Linked DNA regions of Bombyx mori. The protein of the gene in region 1 binds, or shares a complex with, the protein of each later gene. Links are inferred from orthologs where the notes say so. Each region holds a gene or a part of one and is shown on either strand. Other genes may lie near its edges.

Region 1 (11,541 bases):
AGCAAATATAAACGGAGTTTGCGCAGGTTCATAGTCGTTCGAGCGAGTGTTCGTGGTTTTTTTTATGAGAGGCAAAGGTCCTGATGGCGGAGCTTCTCCTCACTCCGCGGCACCATGTCCGCGAGGTCGCTACTAGTGATGAGATGCAGGAACAAACGAGATCGGTTTTAAAATCCTACTACATCCAAATCAGCTACTAAAAATGACTGAATCTCGTGTATTGTGTTTAATCTATGCGACAAATAACTATGACTACGACTGTACGCGATAGCCCTCGTACATATATATGTAAATACGTACGAATTACAACCGGGCTTGCACTTGCTTCGACGTATTAGAGCCTGTGCACACCACGTTTTGTAAACGCGCCGTCGATGCGCGATCGTAGCGATACCGACGCGATACGCACGCAAGTCAGACGCAACCTGTAGACCTTTTCACACCTGTATAAATTCAAATACGCGTTTGAATCGATACAGACGCGATACTCATGCGCGTTTGTATCGATACAAACGCGCGTTAGCATCACGTTTGTATCGACACAAACGACAAGAAACCATTCTGTGGGATAAAAAAGCGCCGTCGACGCGCGTTTGTAGCGATACAGACGCGATGCTAACGCGCGTTTGTATCGATACACATGCGCGTTATCATCGCGTTTGTATCGATACAGACGACAGCAAACCGCTCTGTAGGATAAAAGTGCGCCGTCGACGCGCGCGCGCTTAAAAAACGTGGTGTGCACAGGCCCTTAGCTTTTCTCACGTTTGTCAAACGTAAACCCCTAGATTTCGTTGGAAAATGCCCTTTTAATATGGTTTAAAGTTCTTTAAAATATTTAGCAAAGAGTTTGTTTGCTAGTTAACTCCACTACATTAAATATTTTTTATAAACTTAAAAATAAAATTATGCCAGTATAATAATACTATTTTGGACCGTTAGATTTCTTTAAGTGAATAAACATTGTTTTATATAAAATTTAATAATAGGTATATTGTATGATGTCGGTTGATTTTGAATGTTATTTTTTATTTTGTATTAATTTTATGTCGGATCCATGCGCAATGTAAATTAAGAATCAGTTTCTAAGATCTCTTAATCACTACTGTAAGCAGCACATCATTTTATAGTTTTTTTTAAATCTAAATACCGATATGATTGTGTAGTCAAGATGTGATAAAATGCTTTAGACTACCTGGTGTATTGTTTGAACTCTGACCAGTAAACAATATATTTTTAGGACTTGACTGCGATTTTATGTATTTTCATATTGTGTACGGTAATAAAATAGTATTCATACAGAAAGTAGTGTTTTACTCATTTCCGGTATTTTTTTATAACCTTATCCTATTTAGTGCCTATAAAATTAGGTTTGTACTGTCTTAAAAACTTGCTGTCTTTCTCTCTAAATAACAAAATGTATAATCCAATCACTACAGGTTTTTTGGAGCCTTGGCTTCAGTGACATCACGTGGTGTCGCTATAGTGCGGGAGTCGAACCATTGTACAACCCCGTTTCTCGTCCAGTCAAACGATACCCAATATAGAACTCTAAAAGATTAACTGGACCGAGTTGAGTTTTAAATACTCTGCAACTTTAATGATGTATCATTCACTAAGACTGAACGTCTTTAGCAGGCAGAAATATTTGATTGCTTAGTCGCTATTTAGTCGATCAAAATTTTAGAGCTTTTAAAGTGACTATCGATAATAGTCAATCAAACCGACAAGTAAAACAATTTTTTGTTAGTCATATTATTTATTTTAAGGCACTATTATAAAAAATAATTAAAATATATTATGTATAGCACTCGTATTAAATTAATACATTAAATGGTTATCACTCTTGTTAATTTTTTGATCATTCGATGGATCAAATGATGGTTAATAAATAATTAAGCCATATTTTTATATTTTGTGAACAGATTGTAAAGCACTCGAAGGGTTGACTTGAGGTCGAGATTCACGATATCTGAAATAAAAATTAACAAATCATATTTGAAATTCATAGTATACCTTAATTTACATATTTTTATTAAGACGATTGGCCTTACCTTCAGGCCTGGCTTTGGGCTTTCCCAGACCAACATCTTGCATAAGCTCAAATGCAAATGATACATTATGAACTTTCTGATCAAAATCTTGAGGTGTTAAATGAAAGTCGTAAAGAGGTACAAAGAATTCTTCAAGTAAGCCCATTAAAAGACATAAGTATACTCCGTCATGGAACTGGGTGTCCAAATCCATTACCTCTAAGTTCACTTTGCTCAAATGTTTATTCACAAATGTAATAAGTGACTGAAAAAAGACAAAAAAGAACACAAATTAAATAAATAGAAACGTCATGTTAATGGGAGATTAATTAATTAAATAAATAAATCAATACCTTCTTAACAACTAAGAGCTTGTCCGGTGCATGGTCGAACAACGCATCAAACGCATCACGTTCACATTTCATGCCGAGATCGTCATAAGTAGTCGTTATGGTTTCGATTAAAGTCCTAAAAAACACTTTTATTAGTTATAAAGATTACAATTTATAAAAATAAAATTATTTAAAAACAATGTAACAAGGTTTACCGGTGAGATAGTTGGGTCGGTGTGTTTTTCTTGACGATAACAACGTTCACAGAAACATTTTCGGGGAGACGTATGGGAGCTCGGAAATGACGGGCCAGAGCAACGAGCAAATGAAGAATCGAAACAATACTTTTTGAATGTATCGAATCCACACTCCATTTTGGTACTGGTTTTGATGTACCGTACAAGACCTAAAACCAATACAACTACATTATTATAATTCACAAACAATTACTATAGTTATTATTATAATTTAGTGCAACCTTAACTAAATTTTTTTTGCTATAGACATAGTTTAGGCAGTCTAATTCTTAGTATTTGAATGGTTCTTTTGAAACGAGAAGAATATAGTACAGATCTTGGAGGCCCATAAGTGAACTTACTACTTGTTCTCTTTCCAACTATCCCAAATAAAGCAAGAGTGCTTTATACCGCAATAGCTCTTGCTCGTTTCGTATTGAGATGTCGCTCTGGGCCTGCGCTGTTTGAAACTAGGTTCCGACTATTCTATCCGTACCCCTTACCTAGACGAGTGACTGCAAGACCTGCTCCAGATATTGATTATAAAAGAGAATAGTTAATAATAATGCTTACTCGATTAACAGCCCGTAAAACTATAGTCAATTTCTGGCGCTGTCCTTCTTCTGATTGAGTTACTTCAGGTACATCAAGTTTCGTCTTTGTTAATTGTTCTAAAAGTTTTTGAAGCACTTGACCGTCATAAAGATCTTCGATGATGTCCTGGACGATTATTCTCTGTGAAGCTAGTTCATCGTTGATCCAGTCAATCAAGACTTGAATCAGATCTCTGACCCTTGGATCTTCAAGTGATCGAGGTTCGATAATAGCCCTTTCTTCGTTCTCATCTAAATCGAAAGTTTAAAGTTAAAAAGTGAAATGCATGGTTTGTACACGAGAATTAGCTTTCATTTCGTGTTCGATAGTTCAAGACGTCACGCGTGCCATAAACATATTAGAATTTTCTTTTTTATATGATACTTGATAAAGACCCATTCTAACTACTCTAAACGCGTGTATGGATTTTTATACACATTACATAAGTCAATTACCTAACTCGTAATAATATGTTGTAATAGAATATCTTAAGTATCCATTGAAGACCATCAAAAGAGGTAACTTAAGAAATAAACACAAAAACTTCGAAAGAACGCAGTAGAACATGCGAAGATGTTGAAATTGAAAGAGAAAGGGAGAGATTACAGAAATTGCAAGGTAAATGAAAGAAAGCCGTAGGCTATCACAATTAACTTTCTGGGTCCCACTCTCGGTTCTTTTAGGCTCCCCAAGCACTGGTCACTGTTCTCGTCGAATAAGACGAAGAGTTCGACGTGCAAACTAACCCATAGTCACAAACTGACTTTTTGCCAGATCTTCTCAGTTGGTCGAGATTCTGATCCGGTGGTAGATTAAGCGAAGCGCTGCTCTTGCAAGGGCCAGTGTTAATTAACCCTCTCAGGTTGAGCCCGTGCGCTCACCTACCAGTTTGTGAGTAGCTGGAATAGCCCCTTAGGCTACCAGCGATCAGGTAGAGAGAAACATATTGTTGAATACATGGAAGATAATAAAAATCTATATAGTAGAATAAATAAAAATTTGCAAGGCAAGAAAAGTTGCAAGAATGTAATACATATTTATTCATGGAAAAGCTGAAGGAAAAATGGAGATATTGATGCGTATTGTAATAAAGGTTACTGCTTTTAAGTAAAAATGAATATAGAGAAGACACTTTGCTTAAAATAAACAAAATTAATCCCTTCGTTGACTGGACATATTCAAGAAACAAAAATACAATGAAAATTATTCATATGTATAATCAAAAGAAAAAATAGCAAGCTAAGTATTCCCTGCTGGGGATATGGACCATCCCATTTAGCTGTAATGGCAGCAAGTACCAACCTGTTATAAGTTTTAGTTTTCTACTATCCTAATTTCACAAGGTTGTGTAATAAATGATAAATGATCCCATACTATAATACAAATATAACCCTCAAGAGTGGGATAAGATTTAATGATTATAATAACAAAAATATATTTCAGAACATAAGTGCATTTTCATAACTTCTAAATTTTTATTTTACTTACTCAAAGTATATTCTTCAGGGGGAATCTCTGGTGCAGTTGGACTGCCTGGAGAATCAATAGCATATTTCCCTTCAGCTTGTACATCTTGAACTGAAACATTACATCTTCATTATTGGTATTGCCACAAAACATTCTTAATATATTATATTAATATATTTTATGTAAATGGAAAAAGCTAATACCTTAATATAAATTGTCTTGTCTAAACTTTATTTAATATGATGGCTATTTTAACATAAAAACAGGAAGACATCATTGATTCACAGCAGAAAAGGCAAAATAACAATACAAACTGCTCACAACAGACCAGTACTCAAGATTGCAATTTAAAGCTACAAAGAAAAATATTAAAAGGAAGTTATATAGTATATTCTACTGCAGTATTCTGAGGGCAGGCTATGTTAACCACTGATTATCTACTTGGATCTAAGTTTGCCGATCCATTTAATTATATTTTTAATGATTACAATTATGTTTTTCTTTATCAGAAAACTGAACAAACATACAGTCCACATCATGGTGAATGGTTACCGGCGTTCATAGATGTCAATGACAGGGGCACAGCCAAGTCTACTACTACTACCTACTACTAGATATTATTATACCTAACAAATTCAAAATTTCTAAAATATTATATCTAAAAAACAAAAAACATTAAACTACTGATCACCTAGTTAATCATTATTGTATTAATGCAGCAGCATATGTTATAATGACTGAAGGCAAAATATAGTAATTATTAATCTGAGTATATTTTGCATCGGTGGTTTACTCAAGATAAAATATAAAAAGAAGCTGTCTTCAAAATACACATATGCAATCTAAATTGAGAATCTCTAAAATCCAGTTAAAAATAATTGCCATTCCAGTGTGACCTCTTAGGCCAGTTTTGAAAGGTTTCAAATAAAAAATATTTCAATTTTGCAAGAGGTGGTTAAAGCAGTAGCAATTTACAGAATTTCCTTAAATAATTTTCCTGGTGCTGTAAAACAAACATCACACAAAAACTAAAACTGAATAGAATAAAATTGTTATATTTTATAATTATATTCGTTTTATTTTTTATTCTATTATTGGCTACTTTCTATTAATGGAAATAGTTTATTTCAAACTTCTGTGTATACATAAAATTTTCTAAAGCTGTCCTTCGGTTCCCATGTTAATCATGAATTTGACATTTTAAATAAACCCACACATCAAATATGAATTTGATTAGAATTTGTAATTATACTTTACCTTCTTTAATCCCTTTTTTGCGCCCTATTGTACCAATTTTGTCCCAAAAGGACTCTTTTTCCTCTTTTTTGGGAAGCACAGGAGTACGAGGTGATTTTGGGCGTGGTGAAGACATTTCGAAATGAAAATACCTACCTGTAAATGTACATAAACTGAATTTAAACCAGAAGTTACTTGTACTTGTTAGTATAGAAGATATCTATTGTGGATCAGTATGACCTATGACTAACGTGATGCAATGTATATTAATAAAAAAACATTTATGTACATATGTACCTTAATTAAAGTACGTACTACATAAATACCTACACCAGTAAGTAGGTACGGTACCTACCGTATGTATTTGTGATTTACCTACCTGTTTTCAGTATTTTTGACGTTTACAATGTTTTTTGTCTATAGCAGTCACAGACAGATCAATCCAGACTGATTGAAAATATTAAGCAACACTAGCTCGAATGTTGTCAAATCTTTAAAAATAATACACTGGTATAATTTCTCGTGCTTTGGAGATCAAATTTATTTCCCAAACACGAATAAAATAAAATCCAAAATTTTAGTGTGAGTTGACTAAGCAAATAATTCCTTTTTTTTGTATTATTCCACCTTTAAATTATACCTATGCATGACTTTAATATATAAATGAATAGAATATGCATTAAAACGTGATGTTAGTGTCACATACATACAGCACATTAATGTGTGATGCTGTCTTTCACCCAAATCACCTATTGCTCATCAACTAGCATCTGAACCTTTAATGAGATAGAACTCAAACTAGGTAGATAGAAGTAAAACCTTTAGACTGAAATTAAACGCATGCACCTCCACGTCGTAGGTACAACAACTACTATAACCCTACGTCAGTGAGCTGTGCGGTTTCCGCCTAAAAAGCTCTAATTAATTAAATCCCATGGTATAACGTATTTTAGAAACAGCGGAAAATATAGCGTTTCATCACCTAGTTGCTGTTGAGCATTTAGATCGCATCTTATACAGCTCTCTTCCCATGTTCCTAAACAGGCTTATAGAAGAAACTTAACACATTTAAAAAGCTAGGAGACGAAGATACTTGCCCTCTCCTCATTTCAAAATCAAAGCTAAGCAATCAACACACGATTAGTTTTTTGGTAATTTTCCTAATACTCGTGCAAGTACTAAACTCTTGTCAATCTCTTTCAAGTGTTAAAAGATCCTTCTACCTAGCACTATATTGTCTACGTACTGAATATCTCTAAATTGCTTGTAATAGTTAAAAATGAACTATGCCGAGTGTATTAGGTAGTTTTCCAATTACAGCACAAGAGCGCATTATGCGGCATAATGCTCAACTAAGCTTCAGCAGAATTCGGCATTGTGCGTCACGGATTACAGAGCATAATGCGACTCAGTGACGCACAATGGCGAATTATGCTGAAACTTAGTTGAGCATTATGCCGCATAATGCGCTCTTGTGCTGTAATTGGAAAACTACTTTAATATATTATCTATATCATAAACGAGAAAACCCTGTCGCAAAGCCCAAACGTACCTAACTAACTATTAGACTAATCTGTGCCCCAAACTCCAAACATAAAATCACTTAAAAAAGTGAACTTTAGTGAAGCAAAACAAGTCTGGTTCGTATTTGGCTATTTATTACACTCAAATACTAAGTTATGCATTGCGTCTATAGTGTAAATTAACAACTCAAACCTTAAAATATTTATTAAAAATTAGATCCTTCAGTTCGAAGTATTGTTTTTAACAAATTTTACGAACTGTTGAACTATCAATTTAATAGGCTGAGGCTGGGTGGGTAGTGTGTATTGTGTAGTCATACCTAAAAATAACTTCAAGATTGAATTACGTCACTGGTCTCACTCTTTAAGTACTTTCTAATGTGATTATTTTAAACAGTATTTGTTTACAGCTTGAACAATGGAAAAAAATGGCAATCCTCCTCCATATGTATGGGGCCAGGCAAATGTTTTACAGCCTCCGCCTGCTGCTCCACCTAGCTACTCGCAAGCAGTGGGGGGTGTAGGGCCTTCCAGCCCTTACACACCTCAGTACCCAACAAGTAAGTAAAATAAATAATATATTGTTTTTATAGGTATACTGGTACAATCTAGCTAATTCAATGTCATAAGTTGAAAATTTTGTTCCATTTGCAGTGAATGAAACTTTAAATAGCTGCAGAGTAGATAGCTGTCAAATTAATAGTAATGCTTAAATATGTGAACACACTGGGTTTCAGATATTTATTTTAAAATTTAGGTCAAGTTTTTATTTTGAGTCAGTGACATTGAACAGGTTGATCTTATTATAATTTGCATGTGTGTATCACATATTTTAAGGTTGAAATTGTTTTCAAATGTTAGTGTTCCTCAAATAAGTACACTACATTAGGTATGTAAGATATATAATTTAATACATTAATTTTTACTATTTCAATTAATGTATTCAAATCAAATCAAATCAAAAAAATTTTATTCAACATAAATGAAAGTACATACTTGTTGAACGTCAAAAGAACTACCGCTACTATTGAAAATCTTTTACCTTTAATTTTTTGTAAAAGCTTGTATTTTGTAAGAGCTTTTACTGTCAAACTTAATAGAACATAAATGTCAATTCACAAAGCTAGTCTCGTCATATAATAGTGAGCGCCCATTGTGTGAGAATTTGAATTACACCATACATTGGCAAAATATTTATAGTTTTAATGTTTCTACATAATTCACTGTTTAAATCCTAAAGATCTCAAAATCAGAAGTAAAACATCACTCAATTAAATTGTATAGGGGTAATGATTAATTCAAAACTACATTTAATGTCTGTCATGAATAATATCAACAGGTGAAAGGCTATTTGCTTTAAGCGACATTTTGTTTTATTTGGTATTAGCATTAATAATTCAATGTTTTCATTTAAATTTTAATTCATTTTATCCCATTCTACTAGATGAAGATGCTCTTTTGGTTATTATATTTTTTCGAAATTCTAAACTTTAAATGGTTCTCCTGTAATGTTTGCAAAAATATTGCTTAAACCAAACTAGACGATGACCGAGCTTCGCTCGTCTTTTTTTTTTATAAAAATTGTGTTTTTTAGTACGAATTACATATTGATAAAATGATGAAATATTCCAAGATCGGTTAGGTATTTTTAAGTGAACACGTGAGTTAAAAAGTCACAAATAATATACTTAGTCTGGCCATAAATACTGTTACAATTAAAAATTAAAAAAAATCTAGTGCAAATAACATTTATTACTTTTACAATGTGTTAGTTTAATACATAAATATAAAACAATTTAAAGTATAAAAAGCTTATTCGAAGTGGTCTCCATTGGCTGCAATACAGTCCTTTAAACGTTGAGGCCAGTTATCAATAGAAGCACGCACTCTTTCCATGGGAAAATTTTTCACTGCCAATCGTACGAACTGTTTTAGGGACTCCAAATTATCATGGTGTTTAGAGCAAGCCGTACTCTCTAAAACTGACCATAAATCATAATCCAGTGGATTAAGATCGGGACTAGACGACGGCCAGTCTTCAGCTCTGATGAAGTCCGAAACGTTCGTTTCCAACCAAGACTGCATAGACCAAGCTTTATGACCTGGCGCCGAGTCTTGCTGGAAGGACCATTCTTGATTATTGAACATAGTGTTGTTAAGGGGCTTCACTACCTTCTCAAGAATGGTATCTTGATACACTTGTGCCGATGTTTTGGTAACTTTTTTACAAAAGTATGGCTCAGTCACTCCTTCATAGCTAATACCCCACCAAACCATCATTGAAGTCGGATAGTGCCCACGTTGCACTCTGTTGACTAATTGGGAAGCTTCCTTAGAGCTTTGAGCATGAATATGGTCATTTTGTTTGTTAAAATGTTGCTCAATTGTAAAAAATACGCTGAAATAGCCCCTAAGGCTATCAGCTTAGGTAGGAAAAAAAAAAGAAAAGTAAAAAATTTCTCATCCGGAAACAAAATTTTTCTATGACCTCCCTTTGCGTACCGCTTCAGTAGTTATTTCGATTTTACCACCCTAATCTCTTTTAAATTATCAGTAAAGAAATGACCAGTACGTCTCTTATAGGCTGCAAGTCCTAAGTCATCTTTTAAAATACGCGACATGGTTCTAGGTGCTATCTTCATCTCCCGAGATAAAATCTTTTGTTTTCGGACAGGATTTCTTCGAATTCTTTCCCTTACTGCTTTGACCACTACGCACTACTTTTTCGCACGAACACTACGTGGACGGCCAGATCTTTTTCTGTCATAAACAGAGGAGGTTTCATTGCACCTATTAATAGCCCGGTACACAAACATTTTACTAATACCAAGCGTATGGAGAGTTTTAAAAATTGCATTTGGCTCCATACCTAATTTGTGTAATGCAATCACAGCGATTCGGTTCTCTTTATCACCCCACTCGAGTTTAATATCGCAAAGTATTGTACAATGTATTGGCGCCAAAATGAGAACACTCAATGAGCAATCATATAAAAATGACAGATTCCAAATTCAAATGTAATATTTTGTTTATTTTTAATTGTATCAGTATTTATGGCCAGACTAGGTAAATAAACAATTTATTTTCTTGGTCTGACCTTAAACCAAACGCTCATTGGCTTCAGGTGGCTTAACAACGCCATCTGCTGAAATAGCTTTAGTGTTATTGTGTCTTTAAAGCTTTAAAGTTGCTCTCAATTATAAAAAATAGTATTATTATTCGCCAATAGATGTCGGGAAGAGTCATAAAGTTGATTATCGATAAACGAATAAAACAACATTTTCTGAAAATAAATCGTAGCTACATCGATTTATCGCCCCCGAAATCCCCTGTATACCAAATTTTATAAAAATCGTTGGAGCCGTTTCCGAGATTCAAATTATATATATATAGATCCACACTTCATCCATATATATATACAAGATTTGCTCGTTTAAAGGTATAAGATAGCCTTTCACCCCTCAATATATAATACGATGTCTGTCATTATTTCACATTTGTAGCTCAACTGTTTTTTTTCATACATTAAAAAGTTTTCAAAATAAATTATTTTTCAGCAACAGGGCCACAAATTGTTACAACCGTAGTACCGGTTGGGCCGCATCCAACTCATATGATTTGTCCTAGTTGCCATGCCGAAATTAACACATCAACACAAACAAAACCTGGTCTCATTGCATACATAACTGGTGCAATTATATTCCTTTTAGGGTAAGTATTCTTTTATTATGTGTATTGTACCTTTACAATGATGGTTACAGTGTCTTTTGGAAGAAAAATAGATTTTATTGAAGATTGATTTAGATGGAATTCTTTGTGAATTATATTATTTATTTGTCAGAAATTGAAGCCACCAAATGGGATTGTTTTCTTACCTCAACTAAATTTACAACAACAAATAAACCAAAGATTTTTTTACATAGGATATAACACCTAAAAACTATATTAGTAAAATTAATGGAATATATTTTTGTAGCATATCTATCATGCAACACACAACTTTATGGCTGATTTAGACTGTTAGATGATTACACCATTGCAACACAACTACATATTAACAAATATAACTACTTGACACGTTCATAGTGTTGTTGTTTTGTGTTTACCTGAATGATGTAAA
Region 2 (10,169 bases), on another chromosome or scaffold:
TATAATAACATCCATTAAATAGTGGAGAAATCAATAATAAATTACAGTTTCCGAAACGAAGCGAGGGCGGATCGCTAGTAGTTTATAACTTGAATGTACAGGGAGAATACTTTTACCATGGTAAATTATGATCCGGATAACAGTCGGTATATCTGTTATAATAAATACGTCCGTGCATTCGCTGGCGGGACTGATGGTAGTTTGTGGACCAGTGTGACACAAGAAAATTCTTTTTTTAAGCTACAGTTTTAAAGTAACCCGGACTGCGGTGTTCTTGTATTACGGAAATCGCGAATAAATGATAAAGAGATAAGAGCATAATTTTAAACAAAACTAAGTAACAGACCTTGGACTCAATTCGATTGATAAAACATCTAAATGGTTCTCCATGATTACCGGGGTCAGGCACGAAACAATTTAAACACCTCAACTCATATTATCCGACCCAGGCGAAGGAGATTGCAAAGCCGCCGTCGCACTAAACATGTCCTGTCGAGTCCCCCGGATCGGAAAAAGAACTTATAGGTATTTGTCAACTCATATTCATTGAATGCGAGAGGTAGTCACCGAGAATGATGGAAGTTTATCGAAAGAATCTACTGGACTTTTTTTCATTTGTCTCCATATAGAAGATATTTTAGTCATCGTCGCCTAAAGGGTAAGACGTCCGGTGCATTCGTATCTAGCGATGCAACGGTGTTCGAATACCGCAGGCGGATACCAATTTTTCTAATGAAATATGTACTTAACGAATGTTCACGATTTACTTCACAGTGAAGGAAAATAACATCGTGTGATAAAAAATAAACCCGCAAAATTATAATTTGCGTAATTACTAGTGGTAGGACCTATTGTGAGTTTGCACGGGTAGGTACCACCACCTCGTCTATTTCTGCCGTGAAACAGTAATGCGTTTCGGTTTGAAGGGTGGAGTAGCCGTTGTAACTATACTGAGACCTTAGAATTTATATCTCAAGGTGGGTGGCACATTTACGTTTTAGATGTCTATGTGCTCTAGTAACCACTTAACACTAGGTGGGCTATGAGCTCGTCCACCAATCTAAGCAATAAAAAAAAAACAAACGTGTGGCACTGGGGAACTGCCGCGGTATGCATTTTTTATCAACTTATGCAATTATAATTTAATATTAAAACAAGACCACGCCATATTAAACATTAAAAAAAGCTATGCAATAGCTTAAAATAAAGAACCTCGTATTGTGGATAATCAGCGCTGTTCGATTTATCGACCTTGAACAGCCTTAGCTGAGCCACCTCCTTTTGTCTTTTTTTTAATTTTTATTTTTCTTGTATTTTATTCTATTTAATGTGAAAGACAATAAATGATTTTATTTTTATTATTACCCTTTTGTTTGCTGATGTTCATGAGCAACAACGACCACTTATAAAATGACAATATAGCCTATCTATGTGCTTAATGCGAGTGTTTTAACGTTCTCGATAGCGTAAAAGGTAACATAAATTTGCCGCTAGGGACAAACGTTCCAACTCCATACTAATTACATGCGAGAACGTTAAAAAAGTCGCACTAAACACGCTGTCTATAACAAAATAAATTACAAATTAGAATCTTAAAATCAAAACTTCCCAAAATTTTGATTTTGTATTTGGTAACTTGACGAAACCCTAATCCCGTGCATTGTACAATAATCAAAAGAATAACGTGTTAGTAAAAAACTTTATTTGGTGTTACATAAATATTTAGATCTAAATTAAATTATAAAATATCTGTATTATACATTAAAAGGGTTAAAAACAATATTACAAAGGGTGCGAAACAAGTTTTCTTTTTTCTTTTAAATCATAATTTTCGTCTAATGTAAGGCATGCTAAAAACGTGACATTAATATACAATGCAGTAGCATATTATAGTCAAAAGTAGCATTCTTCAAAATGGAATGAATATAATTTTTTGAAATATATTTATCATTTCAGAGGGTTTTTCAAATATCATTTATATCGGTCTGATTGTCACTGTCATTGTCCCTGGCTAAGATAATCTTATATAATTAATATTAAAAAATAATTAGATCCAAATTCGTCATTTTGACCACACATTTGCTGTAATATTCAGTTCAATTGGTTTATAAAAATCATCGAAAATTTATATTAATAATCTTCATATAGTGTACAATATCTACAGATTTGTTTCCGTTTTGGCTTATGAAGCCAAGCCTTTTGAGTTCATTAATATAAATAGTTAACTTAGAAATAGTTCTACGTTTATATTTTGTGCTTTTAAATTCAGGTTCACGTGACCAAACTGATATTTTGACTTAATTCAAAACATAGTTTACAAGCACATTCAACAGATACATTTTTATTGCCAATAGAGTTAAATTGACTTATAGCTCATCTGGTCGTAAATAGATAAGAGCGACTTCAAAATAATATTTTTAAAGGAGTCAAATCAATAAATAAATCCATTGCACTTGAACAAAATAGCGAACGCGTCAATGATCAGTGCGAGTAAAGACAACATTCATAATCATTATATTTTGTATGGTATAAAATAATTAATTATTACATTTTACACTTAATATATTACATTAATAAGTTTAGTTGTTACATAGTAGGTACTTCAAGGCACAAATGGCAAGTGCATACTACATTTATTATATTTTTAAATTTGTTAGTTAATTATGTTAAAAAAATGTGAACACCGACATTACTGTGGTATAGTGGTTTAGTATAGTATAGACCAGTGATGGGCAAAGTACGACCCGCGGAAGTATTTTAATCCGGCCCGCCGAGAGTCCGTCCGTCCCAAATATTCTAGTCGGCAGTTTGGCGCGTAAAATAAAATCTGACGTTTATAATTGAAAATCTTCGAATTTTTCAAAACTCCCCTCAAAACACCCCTGACGAATTGGAGCTTTCATTATCTCATTTATTGGAGAAAAAAAAACATTTTTCTATAATTCTGGCCCTCCTCTAGTATTTCCTAAACATTGTGGCCGCCATTAAAAATGTTTGCCCACCACTGGTATAGACAGATTAATGTCGTTTATTCCTTGTATTTTTCGTTAACGGCGGACCGTGTAGTGATGAGCCCGACGTAGCCGACGTCGTAGTTCAGCCGGGAACTTCTCGTAGCAGCGTCTACAGGCGGGCCTCTCGTCGTATTCGTAGAACTTGCTACGCGTGCTCAGCGGCGCATCGCAAACGGAACACGCAAAATGATGTACGCACCAAGCCTTGTTCAATGCGGTGAATACTACGAATAAAATTACAGTTATTAAGAAAAAAAATGGTAAATTAAATAGATATTTTTGATTCGACCAGTTTGTGTTATTGAAGTAGCAATCAGCAGTACAACACAATAAGTTACATATTATGTGTAACATGTTACTTGTGATATATAACCTATATTATATTCACATTAAAACCTTCATAATTATAATACATACTAGCACACAAATTTTTAAGAAGTTAAGAATATATTCATTCGATAATATAAAAAAATCAGCTAAATAAGCAAGATATAATTTCAAATCACACTGAATATAATTAGTTTTTAAGTGAATTGTGATATTATAAAAACGTTTATGATTATTAACCAATAACACAAATATTGTGTTCAGAACTTATTTTGTGCAACAGCTATGTGTAGAAATCTTTCCCGTTCTTTTACCACTTATGCTGGTAATCTCGTGAGGTTATGTCAACTTAACTGTGCGAATAGGTGCTCTAACCTGACGACGTTGCTTCGCAAAATCTACCACCGGATCGGAATCGCGACCCACTGAGAAGATCCGACGAGAAACTCAGTAGGCTTTTTCCAGTATTAGCCCGCACGATATTAAAGCATTATTAAACTTAGTTAAAAAACAAAGATTTTTATTAAATTTAACTATTGCGTGTACTCCACTTGGCCATTTTCGATTGTTTTCTTTATTAAAAATTATATTTATTAACACAACTTACTTATTACGCAGAACAGTGTACTTAAACGATAAACCAATACAATACAGACAATTATGAAACCTCATCATATCACATGCCGAAATCATTAAATTTTAAATGAAATAATCGAATAGTTACCGTCGCCGGCGATAACTTGATTACAGACGTAGCACAAATTGCCGAACAACTGGTGATAATGTTGTTCGCAGTAGGCCAAGCCTTTCTTTTCATAATGACGATGGCCGTGAAATGGTTTCTCGCATTTGGCACAAACGAAATGCTGAAAAATTAAATTTTCTTTAAATTATTATTTTTATTGCTTTCGACTCAAACGGAACAGGTAGCAAACGGGTGATGATAACCAGTGGTCGAAGTAGGTAGATTGATTTTTTATATACTTGCGTCAAAATATTATAATATACACTAATATGGAATAATGGATTAATATTTTTAATATGTTTTTCACCTTAAACACAGATTCATGATAATTTCAAAATTCCGGAACAAATATCGCAATAAATATGAAGTTCCGGTATTTTGGAGGCATATCCATATTATCCTCTACATTTGACGTCAACGATCTTAAATCAATCTACCTACTCCGACCTCTAGTGAAAACCTAATCCATAGATATCGCAATGTGAATTGCGCTACCCCCTTGCAACGTCGAAGTTTCAATTCTATAATTACTACCATACCCTTCCAATCGAAACGCTGGATGGTTTCGCCGCATAGATAGGCAGACCGGTAACACTTATCCGTGTGTGGGCTCCCAATACTGCCGCCGATAATTATGCATATTTATAAGATTCTCGGTTTTTGTTAAACACTATATTTTTATTTCATCGTGGAAGTCGCTCAAGTGAGCATGTTAGGTACGTATTTACTTGGAACTAGGCAATGGCAATAACTGATTCGTCGCATCTAAAATCGTTAATTTTATTAATGCAATACAATTGAGGCTTTAACCTCGTGTCTGAAGTTGGACGCCGAGATTACTATTATGGTGTGTGATTTTCGATAAATACTTGTAACGGATAGGACGTCGTCAACTGCTGCAATGACACATTTGTTTATCATGCTGAAGCACTCTCTTTTAATGAATTTCGCAAATAGTGAAACTTATGGATTTTAGGAATTGTCGTGTATAAGAGATTTGTAAGTATCGTGATAGCAAGTCAATTGATGTTTTGCTATTTTTTCCATTTCACTTTTCATACAACAAAAGTGGCTTCGGCCATAACCAAAGATTAGATTCTGAAGTCACTTGCATATCCTCTTAAGTGGGAATCGCCACGAGGTGGTAGAAAATAGAATGCGCAATTTGAATGAAAAATCAGAAGCATATAGTGGATTTTTATATTGGTTTATACATACATAATAATATGTATGTTTGTATGAAACGGAATTTTTCAACTTAATTTTGACAGAATTCAAGACGTCCCATTAACTTGAACATGCATCAAAGACCAATGATAATACAATCATTTTAGGACTTCGCTCTATAAACGTGACCAGCATCGACAGACTAAAAAGGTTCTGATTTTTATGGTATTTATTGTATTCTATGATACCTACCGCTTCAGGACAATCTTATTGTATCACAAATTGTATGTTTAAATTAATTGGAGCATACCTCAACATGCCAATGTTTCCCGAGAGCAGTAACGATTCTCTCCTCGATGGGACGTCGGCAAGCACCGCAGATTGGAATACCCATTTTATCATGGCAACGAAGACAAAAGAGGTTATTCTGGAATATTTTTTTTTAATTAAACAAACTTCGATTAGCTCAGATTAAATAAATAAAATACTTAAATGATTGACAGTCAACTTCTCATTTACATTTAAGGAATTAAAAACTAGTTGATAATTTAATTTGCATTAGTTCTTCGGGCACATCACTCGTAACGAAGACTCCATTGAGCGGTTGGTGGTGCAAGGGAAAGTCGAGGGCAAAAGATCTCGCGGACGATCTCCAACACGATGGACCGACCTCATAAAATCTGCGACTCACACCAACATGATTGCTCTCACTCTGCGAAACACCGTGCCACATGGCGTCGCATCGCGTGAGCATCGGTATCCCAGGATTCGACTGATGCATGACCATGACAACTCTGTCAAGAGTGTACGAATAGGAAGAATTTAATTTGCATCACCAAGGTGATTTTTTATCATAAATTTTGGTAATATATTTGTCATAATGATACAATGGTTTCTAAGGTTATGTCTACAATACGTTTTATATTGACTTTCTATCTTATATTTGGCTAGCTTGTTTGTTGACCTTAACAATTTAATTCCAAATATGTTAGCTTTATTAAGCTTTTTCTCTTTTACGCATTTAGAGTTTACATTTTTTCATCTTGATTATCTAACAGATAAACCCATGACATTGATACATATTTTTTGTACACACAACGATTTCATTGGATGAATGTACTGTCTGAATGTGCAAATTGTCCTTTAAAATTAATTTTTATTTAATATTAATTTTATGTGACTATTTCAATATACTTACAACATCATTTGCAGCATATCCAGGACGATTTTTCACTTCTCTGGCTGTATGATCCAGCTCAACTCCACAGGTAGCACAGGTAAAGTGATAGCCATGGTAAACTTCTCCCCGATAACGTAAAGGTTCTCCGTCAATTACTCCACTGCAAGTTGACGATAATTATGTATAGTATTTGATCTATGTCTCAATTGTATTGTGATATAACTGATACATAATTCAAACAGGTACGCATAACTGATTATAATAATATGATCAGTTATGATGATATAATGATAATATGCTTTCATTGTGAAAACATCTTACATACGTTTAACACCAAATTCTTATGCTGTTTCCACTACTTTTTTATGGTACTTGCTACTATGTAATAGAGAACTTGTTTCTGTGTGTAAAATATATGTAGTATAATCTATGAAGCATTACCAATAGTGATAATTAAAGATGACAGATTTAGAAAATTCTAAAATTATAACAACACAAATTGTACATAATTAAGAAAACATACTGGCACTTATGACACATGTAGTTCTGCAGCCCATCCGCTTTGATACGCGCGTTACATACATGGCACAATGCTCGACCAGCATGCTTGATAAAACCGGCATCTGCAAGCTCTACATTACACTCTTCACATCGGAAGCAGGCCGGATGCCAATTAGAGTTCATCGCCTTTATAACGCGGCCAATCACAAACTCTCCTGTTTAAAAAATAAAAAATATTTTATGGTCACATATGTATGGCATCTTTTGTAGTATATTATATAGACTGGTTATGATCGTGTTTATTGGTAATGATTTTATTTACTGTGAAATATATGCAACAAGACAATTCTTATTGTATTTTATGCATTGAAGATCTTATTGTATTTGATACTAGTTGAGTATCGCGATGTTACCCGCGGTTATTGTTGTACCGCGGGTGACGTCGCGGAGTGAAGCTAGTCTAAAAAAGTAGCCTAAGTTACTCCTTATATCATCAGCTACCTATCAGTGAAAGTCCCGACAAAATCAGTCCAGCTGTTCCAGAGATTAGCCGGAACAAACAGACAGACAGACAGACAAAAATTTTATAAAATATTATTTTGATATATGTACTGTGTTTACATACTTACGCATTTAGTAAAAAGTGGTTATTTTATTATTACAAACAGACACTCCTATTTTATTTATTTGTATAGATTAAGATTGAAATTATTATTTAAGGTTCTACCCCACTTACTTACCACACTTTGCACAGCATGGTGCAAATAAAACTTGGAAATCCTGTTCACAATACTTTCGTCCCTCAAATTCATAGAAGACACCATCAGGAAACATGCGAAAGCACTGGGCACAACTACAAAAACATGTTTACATAACAAAAAGGGTTGATCTCATGAGTCTAAATGACAAAATAAGCTCTTGCTAAGGATTGTGTTAGCAACAACGTCAGGTTTGAGCCCCATTACGCTGACATAGCCTCTCAAGCTTAGGTAGGAAAAATAAATGGCTCTAGTGCCTGACTAGTCACCACATCTAGAATATAATCTCTTTCTGTTTAATGCAGAAAATTAACAGACTTGAGCATCAACTAATTTGGTAATCAGATAAGCCATCTGATAACTACTTGAATCCAAAAGAATTAGATTAATTTTTAGGTAAATTTATAGATTTCGATTGAAAATATTTTTTTCAGTATTGATACACAAACTTGTTTTTTTTGTATTAATATGTTTATTATCAGTTATACAAAAACCTTTCTAGATTACTAAAAAGTCAGATCTGAAAGGCAAACAGATACCAGCAACATAGAAAATACATTGGTTTCCATTAATCTATGGTATAATCTCACTCACTATCCAGTACTAATTACAGCAACTTTAATTGAAACAAATGCATACATGTAATAGTACATTCCTCCAGCATTTTTGCGACTTGCACGCGTGGCAATTTTACACGCGGGAGGAAATGTCCAACTTTTCTCCCTTGGTGCACATAGTATTTTTTCTCCTACCAGACCGACCCCGGTGGGGTCCAAGGGCGGAGCCCCCCCTTACTCATAAAAAACAATTTAACTGTTTTTTAATTTTTAAATAAACTACTAGTTGAATAAGAACTGCCTGATGAACTCAACAATGGCAGAGAATTTTAGGTGGGTGAGAGCAGACGCAGACATTAACGCACATGCGTACTTGTATCCAGGGAGGAAAAGTTACACTTTCTTCCCTGTATAGCGGGATGAAAACCGAACTTTCAGCGTAGGTAGGAGAAAAAATTTCTTTCTGACCACATCAACTAATTTTAAGCAGCTTTATGTTCTTATTATGTTTAAGCTTATATTAAGGAAAATCAGTTTTACTTACACAAAACAATTTGTATGCCATAATTCTCCATTGGAGTTCACAATTTTCTCATTTGGCTCAAATCCATCCCCACAGCGAGTACAATACATATTATCAAGAGACATCGTAGCTAAGCTGAAATAAATAATTAACTTTTTAAGTCATATGAAGTAGGTTTTAATTGAAATTTATTTAACTATTGATTGATTAGTTAATGTTAACGTTATCTAGTCATTTGTAAATTAAATAATAAGTACATTATATGACATGTCTAAATCTTTCAATACAAACAATAAAACAGATAAAGAATCTTTAAAATTTCAAAATGATACTACAAGTAATTTGCCTTCTGAAGCTCACTGGCAATTTAATATAGTCACAACATAGAACCCACACAAGTTAAACAATTTACTTTCAATTCTAAGTTACAACTAAAAAAATTTCTTTAAGTTGAAATAGCTGAAATGAATAAGTGTATAGGGATTCCTATGATTTTATTTAAATGAATATAAATATTTGGTAAAAAAATTTTTGAGGTAAAATGTATTGTACTAGTTACAGGAAAACTACCAGTATTTAATCAAGTAATGAGGAAAACTAAATTTAAGGATGACATTAAATTAGTAATAAAAATACTTTTAATGCATATTATTAATTTGTTTGTATTTGTTAGTTTTATTTATGCGCCAATGATGTTATGAACTATTTGATTGCTTTTAGGTTTTTCTTAATGGATATATCTAACTTAAAATGTTCAAAAATGGTTAAGATGCTGCAAGTAGAAGTTAGGGTGGGTGCATTTTATGAGTGACAAGTGTTTAACCACTCCCACGTCCAGCTGCAGCTTACCCAGGCATTTTTCACTTCAAATGTACTCAAATCTAATTAACGAGAACTCCAGAATACTTCTGCAGGAAAGAATTACATTACTCACAAGTCAATTAATACAATTAAACAAATGAATAGTCAACAACTGCAATTTAAAACATAGGTTGTAACTAAATGATGTAATTGAACAAGAATAGATTTTAAGTTATGAATCATTCATAAAAATAATGTTCGAAACTAAACTTACAACAATGATGCGTTAGGTAAACTAAAAAATCTGGTTTTTATTAGATTATTTTAACTTTTATTATCGACTAAAAATACTTTTATAAAGAAAGTGTGTTGAAAGTCGAAAAGTAGATTTTAAATATCTAGTATTATCTATGTATGTATGTTTTTGTTTTTAAGGACTTTGTGACCTGGTAACTAAGACCTTTAGATCAAGTCTTATTTTAATTTATAATTTTATTTTTATGAAAAATGATAATATGGAGTGAAATGAAATGAAATTAAATAAAGATGATTAATTTGAGACATTAATCTACTGAGATGAAATTAAATGAAATGAG

The links.
Region 2: beta-parvin (region 1) and LIM and senescent cell antigen-like-containing domain protein 1 share a complex: the UniProt entries of both Caenorhabditis elegans proteins name them as parts of the integrin containing attachment complex. The link is inferred for Bombyx mori from reciprocal best matches to the Caenorhabditis elegans genes pat-6 and unc-97.

Annotation. Positions count from the first base shown.
Region 1 is NC_085107.1:9,478,155-9,489,695, reverse strand, and holds beta-parvin, read right to left. Parts: upstream 6,411-11,541; 5' UTR 6,278-6,410; exon of another isoform or gene 6,055-6,277; 5' UTR 6,035-6,054; coding exon 5,920-6,034; intron 4,774-5,919; coding exon 4,684-4,773; intron 3,447-4,683; coding exon 3,175-3,446; intron 2,772-3,174; coding exon 2,581-2,771; intron 2,502-2,580; coding exon 2,387-2,501; intron 2,299-2,386; coding exon 2,055-2,298; intron 1,973-2,054; coding exon 1,896-1,972; 3' UTR 1,740-1,895; downstream 1-1,739. Other genes in the region: LITAF domain-containing protein, read left to right, coding at 7,840-7,981, 10,979-11,132. UniProt on the Caenorhabditis elegans protein: Involved in the regulation of cell adhesion and cytoskeleton organization. Component of an integrin containing attachment complex, which is required for muscle development and maintenance.
Region 2 is NC_085112.1:7,030,656-7,040,824, forward strand, and holds LIM and senescent cell antigen-like-containing domain protein 1, read right to left. Parts: upstream 10,018-10,169; 5' UTR 9,848-10,017; intron 9,681-9,847; 5' UTR 9,630-9,680; coding exon 9,622-9,629; intron 8,908-9,621; coding exon 8,794-8,907; intron 7,788-8,793; coding exon 7,675-7,787; intron 7,150-7,674; coding exon 6,957-7,149; intron 6,594-6,956; coding exon 6,452-6,593; intron 5,681-6,451; coding exon 5,564-5,680; intron 4,208-5,563; coding exon 4,066-4,207; intron 3,239-4,065; coding exon 3,048-3,238; 3' UTR 1,686-3,047; downstream 1-1,685. UniProt on the Caenorhabditis elegans protein: Component of an integrin containing attachment complex, which is required for muscle development and maintenance. Probably function in adherens junction.